2 linked regions of the Coturnix japonica genome follow. The protein of the gene in region 1 purifies or fractionates together with the protein of each later gene. This does not show direct contact. Links are inferred from orthologs where the notes say so. Each region holds a gene or a part of one and is shown on either strand. Other genes may lie near its edges.

Region 1 (3,651 bases):
CTCAGTGCAGGCCTGGCCAAGAAGGGCAGCTTCCCTGTTTGCTGTCAGCTGTATGTTAACAACATTTTCTGTTTGCATTGTGATTTGCTGCAGAATGAGGTTGCTTTTCCTCCTCAGTTCACTCCAGTCATACCCTTTCTGACTGACTTCTGTGTCTGTTTTACCTTGGGGTGCTTTTTTACTCCCCATGTTGCAGACCTGGGGAAACTAAAAGAACGCTGTGGGCTGCGTTGGCGATGGCTGAAATGAGCACGAGGATTTTGTGTTTGTTTTTCCTATAACTAAGAAACGTTTTGTGTTTTTCAGTTGGGGTAATCAGATGTCCGATATGCCGCCAAGAATGCAGGCAGATAGATCTGGTGGATAACTACTTTGTAAAAGACACATCAGAAACACCAAGCAGCTCTGATGAGAAATCAGAACAGGTACGGTGCTTTTCTGCTTGCTGGGATTCCCATGCTGGTTTCTTTTCCCTGTGTATGTTAATGCTTTCCAGGAAAGTGATGGCAGCTGACCTTTCTTCCCTTTGCAGGTGTGCACAAGCTGTGAAGATAATGCTAGTGCTGTTGGGTTTTGTGTCGAGTGTGGGGAGTGGTTGTGCAAGACCTGCATAGAAGCTCATCAGCGAGTGAAATTTACTAAAGATCACATGATTAGAAAAAAAGAGGATGTATCGTCAGGTGAGTGTTTGGATATCGTTTAGTCCTGCCTGTGTATACAGATAAGCTTACAGTCATGCTCAGTATAGTCTTACAGCTGCGTTGATGTTGCTGAGTCAATTGGAATTTGAATTCATTCTTAGGTTTTATTTCCTGGTTAGCAAAAATGAATGTGCATTGTGAATGTGCAATTTAAACATGCAGCTTCATTAGGAAAGGTTAATTACTCAGCTACTGATTGACAGTGTTGTTTGCAGTCTACTGAAGTAATGGGGCAAGCATTCCCAGAGCAGGTAGATATAACTCTCCCTGTATAAAGGGGTTAGGTTCAGATTTGCTGTTTTTTTCCATCTAAAATAAGTTAAAATCTTCATGATTGCTCTGTTGCGCTATTGCAGAGTAGTGACGCTGCATTGCTTTCTGCCATTGGTTTTGGCAAAATCTTATTAGTGGTTAAAAACTATTACTGCTAAGCTTAGTTCCTGTGGACAATGATCTTGTTTTGCTTGCTATATCAAGTAGACTTTTAAGATTATTTGACTTTAAATGCATTAACCCTAGTAAGCACTTACCAATTAATGTTAAGTCAGATGAGAGGACTCTGCAGAGGATTGGTAATGTTTTTCATTAGGACTGCTGTGGCCATCAGGGTGATAATATAACCCCATGTACACTGAGTGGGGGGTGCCCCGAAATGACTGTTCCAGTAATGTACTTTATGAAGGTGGAGTCTGATGGCAAGTCCATATGGCAGGGACATAGCTGTGTCAGCTTTCAATTCATGAGCTCTTTTTCTTTACCATAACTTGCATGTCGTAACAACCTTCAGAAATTTTGGGGACTACGATGCGTTTACTTGTTTTAAGCTTTACCTGCTGTACCTTCCAGAAGCTGCTTTCCTCTGTGCCAAGCTCAAAAAAGCTTTACAACACCTTTTTAGTAAATCCAGAAGTGTTTTCAACAGTATCTTTGTGTTTAAGTGGAAAAGTTCTCTAGCTTAGCTGGGACTTAAGTAATTTTATGACCCATAAGAATGTTAGCTCTGCATTTACCACTTCAGTTGGGCATGACTTAATGAGTTTATAAAGATTTTGGAGTGATAATTTAGAAGATCTGTAAGTTTCTGACAGTGTAAAAGCTTGAGAAGTTCAGTCTATCTTGATTTCATCTATTAACATGAGTGTGAAATGCAAGTGTGTACCAGCAGTCCTTGCAGTGTCTTTTGAGTGGTTTTGGTGGAGAGAGAAATTCCTCCTTCATTTTGAATACAAGAAAAGTGGGGGCAGCTACAGAACGCTGGCACTGTAACTATTGTCATAAGAATGTATTTGTGGTTATTTCAGGGTAAGAGCAGTTCTTTTGCTGTCTTTGAATTCTTGGTTCTTACTTGCTTAGCGTGGAAGGGAGTAGTTTTGCACTTCAGATTGTCTTAAATTTATGTTAAAATGCAAAAATGGTTTATTTTTAAAAACAGAGGCCGTGGGAGCATCTGGTCAACGTCCTGTTTTCTGTCCTGTCCACAAACAAGAGCAGTTAAAACTTTTCTGTGAAACATGTGACAGGCTGACATGCAGAGACTGTCAGTTACTGGAGCACAAAGAACACAGGTACAAATATTACCATGTCTTACCTCCTGTGGTGCGCTGTCTCAGAGGAAGAAATACGACTGATTTCAAACAGTTGTGTCTGTTTGACCTGCTGCCCTAACTCTCCATCAGACATAATTCCTCACAAAGGAGAGCATGTATGTGGTGCTGGAAACTTCAGGTGATCCATCAGCTGAGCTGTGTGATGAGTCTCTTTAAGAGATGTTCAGACTTCTTCCTTTTCAGCATCTTGGTCATATCGTTGCTCATAGGTTTGAAAAAGCACTTTGCAGTATTATAATAGAGAATCTGGGGATAAAAATACATGTTTACCAGCAAGTTAGTCTACCAGTAATACTTCTCTATGAAGGTGCTTGGAAGTATGAATTTAGTTTTTCTGTTAGTTTCTTTTTCCAGTGCAGTAATTAATGTCATAGATTGTAAGAGCAGCCTGGAGAACTTTCATTTTTTATATTACCACTACTAGAATATGAACCTTGTGTTCCTGCTGCATTCTGTCATAGGCTTGATCATAAATGTTCTGAAATGCACTCTTCTCAAGAAAGCCTGTTTTCCAAGGATATCTTAACTAATCTCTTCTAGTTCCTTTTCATTCCTGTTTGTGCTTGATGCTAACAGATTAACAATTCATAAACGGTTGGCTGTTGTTTAATGACAATTAACAATATAACAAACCACTACTGCATTTTCCTCATCTAGTGTTAACACAATCATTTGTCAGACTCTGAATGGTGTCACTTAGCTGGGTTCCGTAGACTGTTGTCTTGTGAAATGATGTGGTGCATTGTCTCCCTGTGTAGCTGGAACTGAGGGACTCATACACATACAGTCCTCTGGACATCTACAGAGGGTTTTAATAGTAAATTTAACTGTGCATGCGTGTGTATGTGTATGTATATGTATGTAAGATCCCATTTGTTTCTGTATTTTTATTGTATCTATCATATTATCAAAATTTTGATGGTCACTGTAGCTTTACATCTGAACTGGGGATCCTTATCGGTCCTTGTTAATTGGGATCTTCTTCTGTATGTTGAAAAGGTATCAGTTTCTAGAAGAAGCTTTCCAGAACCAGAAGGGTGCAATTGAGAACCTGTTGGCCAAACTTCTTGAAAAGAAGAACTATGTCAATTTTGCAGCTACACAAGTTCAGAACAGGTAAATACCCCAAAATAGTTAACTCTAATCATTGCCTGCTTAATGAGTGAAGGGATTAGAAGAGTATGTGGGAAAGAAAGAAACTGAAAGCTCAAGAGATGTTACACAATTCTGTGATAAGGATTCAAGGCCAGTAACAGTGCATGGGAATAATGCGTTGTCATGTTTTGTGCCTGTGGCAAAGTTTCTGGTTTCACTGAAAATGCAGTGAATTTCTACAGAATGTG
Region 2 (3,651 bases), on another chromosome or scaffold:
TCGGCTCCATCTCCAGGAACTGAAAGTGCCGGGCGGGATTTCCGTGTGGCTCCAGGTACGGTTGGGATCCTACGGAGCTGAGAGCGTTTCTGTTTTAATACTGAAATACAGACTTACTTCTGCGGCGCCTGCTTCTGAAAGAAAGAAGCGGCCACGAATGGACGCTCTGCAGCACCTCGTTGGTTCCTGGAGCTCCGCTGTGTGACTGTGGGCAGTGTATGAAGAACATAAACGAATCACGGCATTTTCTTATAAAAGACAGTTGAGCAAATGGATGTAGAACTGCAGACTTAGTGTTTTTAGTCTGTGTTCAAAATGGGCTGCAGGTTTTGCTGTTGGAGGCTGAAGAATTAAAGGAGTGCAGAGCGGGGTGTGACTGTGGGACTCGAGTTGACTTCAAGTCGTTTTTTGTCTAAGCAGGAGGAGAATGGACGCTCGAGACTGTCATTAATTACAGTTCTGGTGTTCAGCGATGGAAAGCCCGCAGACTAATTTCCCTCTAGGGCTCGTTTCAGAGCAAAAGAGGAGTGGGATCCAAGAGGATGGGAGCCCCCCGCTGAAGAAACTAATGACAGAAATGCACGTCAACAGCCCAGTGCGAGTTGTAATAAATAAACTGCCAACAATAAAGAAGGAAAACTTGGACGAATATGACGAAACTTCTGTGGAGGCTGACGGGGAGAGTGCCAAGCCAAATAGTTCTTCAATCTCCGAGCCTTTGAATTTAAATCCAGGTCTGAAACACACGTTGGCACAATTCCACTTGAGCAGCCAGAGCTCACTGGGTGGACCGGCAGCTTTCTCAGCTCGCTATTCCCAGGAGAGCATGTCACCCACCGTCTTCTTGCCTCTCCCATCACCTCAAATCCTGTCTGCTCCGCTGCTCATCCCTCCCGACAGCTCCACAGAGCTCACTCAGACTGTGCTGGAGGGGGAATCCATCTCTTGCTTTAAAGTCGGAGGAGAAAAAAGACTTTGCCTGCCTCAGGTGTTGAATTCAGTTCTTCGAGACTTTTCTTTGCAACAGATCAATACCGTGTGTGATGAACTGTACATATACTGCTCCAGGTGCACTTCCGACCAGCTTCATATTCTGAAGGTTCTGGGGATTCTTCCATTTAATGCTCCCTCCTGCGGGCTCATTACACTGACTGACGCTCAGAGACTATGCAATGCTTTACTACGTCCTCGCACTTTTCCTCAGAACAGCAGCTTTCTCCCTGCTAAGAACACATTGGCCCAACTGAAGGAGACTGGCAGTGCCTTCGAAGTAGAGCACGAGTGCCTGGGCAAGTGCCAGGGTTTGTTTGCACCTCAGTTCTACCTTGCGCCGGATGACCCCTGTATCCAATGTCTGGAGTGCTATGGGATGTTCTCACCCCAGACCTTCGTGATGCATTCACATCGATCCCCTGACAAGAGGACCTGCCACTGGGGGTTTGAGTCAGCCAAGTGGCACTGCTACCTTCATATTAACCAGAAGTACCTGGGGACGTCGGAGGAGCGGGAGCTGAAGCATCTGTTGGAGGAAATGAAGGAGAAATTTAGTGAGAAAAACCAGAAAAGAACTCGATCAAAAGTAAGTTCACCTGCTCTTGTAGAACTCCTAAATCTCTTTGCCTGCTCCTAAAATGGTCCTTTTGGAAGCACAGTGCTTGCCTCTTGTAAATGGGAACGCTTGTCAAGCCAAGCCTAAATGAATTTCATGAGGGAGCTTCACCATGGAAATGCATTTCTGATGAAAAGGCATAGAGATTTCTTTCCTCTTTGGGCTCTAGATGGTTTGGTTTTGTTGGTTGTTGTTCCGTTTTAAAGTAAGCAGTCTCTGGGAAGTTCAGAATTAATTTGGAAATCTTTTAATGTGTTTTATGCGGTATGTGCTGCAGCAGCTGAACAAAGCCGAAAGGAGCTTGAAAATCGAGTGTTACCAATTGGTTTGTTATTTGTTGCATTCACACCAGCACACACACACACACACACACACACACACACACACACACACACACATATGGTGTATGGCTGCCTGGCCTGCCAACCACCCATCTCATGGCGTTTCATGTAGGTAAGGACACATCGATAAGCTCCTGTTAGAAGCTTGAAGCCTCCTTGTCCAGCAGTAGCTTTCTGTTTAAACAGATTCTATGGAGAAATATGCCAAAAGAGAGGAGCTCTGAAGCAGTCCAAGTAAAGAGCTGTAGGACGGTATCTTGACAGTGGTTAATAATAGACATAGTATTTTTTCCTAAAATACTGCTGCAAGTCTGCAGTGCAGTTCAAAAACACAGAGCTTATTTTTCCTTCAGAGGGCTTCTAATTTAAATAATAAACACCAGATAAATGTTGGGTGTTGCTGGGGAAATATTCGTGTTATGTGCAAGGAATAGGCTTTTTAGAAGTGCTGGTAGGGAACAGAGAGAGCAGCCAGCTCATTAGATGAGGGAACACGTGGGTGATGACAGCATGGATGTTTGCACTCGAAGAATATGCAATTTTATTGAGTATAATCTAAACTTAAAACTTCTCAGCTCACCTGTTGGATGTTTTGTCTTGGATTTCAAAGCAGGTGAGCTCAAAAAGGTACGTGGTGAGATGATACCTTCCAGCACAGCTCTGGACATTTAGTGTTACAGAAAGGATTACTGCAGTAACAGCTGCTGCTACAGTTGTGCCAGTGTGCTGTAAGGGATTTGATCAGGAAATTCCCACAATAGCCTGCTGTATGGCATTCCTGCACATGCTGAATCAGCTGGAGGTGCAGGTAAGCTCACAGCAAGGAGGCTTCACTATCATGACAGCCTTTGTCCTTGCAGAGCCAGTACAGGTAATGAACTGTGGCATCGGTGGAAATGTGTTGTAGGTGTGACTACAGCAGGCTGCTTCCTGTTTCTTGTTAGCAGACTTGTGACCACGGTTTCAGTTTCCTATAGACAGATGAAAAAACAGCTGAAGTTCACAGCAGCAGTTTGGACTGGACTGCAGTTCATACAAATGAAATACAAAGACCCTTTCTGGATTCTTCCATTACAGACCTGTGTAGCTGTTTTTATTATTGTTATTAAGCAGCGTACGAAATGAGAATGAAGGGTTTTGGAGCTTAGCTTCCTTGTGTCCTCTCTCCTTTCTGTTCCTTTTGGAGCTGATTTGAGGATCTGCATGGGTGGGGTTACGCTGCAGTTGCATTGCTAGACTTTGAATTTAGCAGGCTTGACGTTTTGACCAGATTCATGTAGATGGGATTGACACCTTGTTGTGGTCAAGTGACTTCTGATACAGGCCGTGCTGCTGTGACTGCAGACTCTGGGCTGCCAGAGGTGAGGTTCTGTCACAGTCTGTTTCTGGGTGTGTGAATATGGACTTTTTGTGGCTGCTGGCTGGTGGCAGCTGATCACACTGGGGGAAAACCCACTCACATTCACATTATGAGGGGTTTCAGTGGGTGTAGACATCACCCCAGTCCCAAGACTATTTTAGTACGATGAAATTAGGAATCAGTTTTTCAGCTGCGAGTCTTGTAAATAGGACCAGACACCTTTCACTAAGTATCAGTGGTAACTTTAGTCAAAGTTTAATTTTGGTCCTTGAGACAAACAGAAGGAGGGCTGCTATCCAAATCCTACACGCACAGAAATGCTTTAAGATGATGCGTTCTGA

The links.
Region 2: the proteins of TRIM33 (region 1) and SKIL purify together in Homo sapiens (affinity purification with western blotting; 4 studies listed by BioGRID and IntAct, with this or other methods). This does not show direct contact. The link is inferred for Coturnix japonica from reciprocal best matches to the Homo sapiens genes TRIM33 and SKIL.

Annotation. Positions count from the first base shown.
Region 1 is NC_029541.1:3,871,256-3,874,906, reverse strand, and holds part of TRIM33 (E3 ubiquitin-protein ligase TRIM33), read left to right. Parts: intron 1-306; coding exon 307-425; intron 426-532; coding exon 533-680; intron 681-2,133; coding exon 2,134-2,266; intron 2,267-3,307; coding exon 3,308-3,424; intron 3,425-3,651. UniProt on the Homo sapiens protein: Acts as an E3 ubiquitin-protein ligase. Promotes SMAD4 ubiquitination, nuclear exclusion and degradation via the ubiquitin proteasome pathway. According to PubMed:16751102, does not promote a decrease in the level of endogenous SMAD4.
Region 2 is NC_029524.1:17,517,170-17,520,820, reverse strand, and holds part of SKIL (ski-like protein), read left to right. Parts: 5' UTR 1-472; coding exon 473-1,579; intron 1,580-3,651. UniProt on the Homo sapiens protein: May have regulatory role in cell division or differentiation in response to extracellular signals.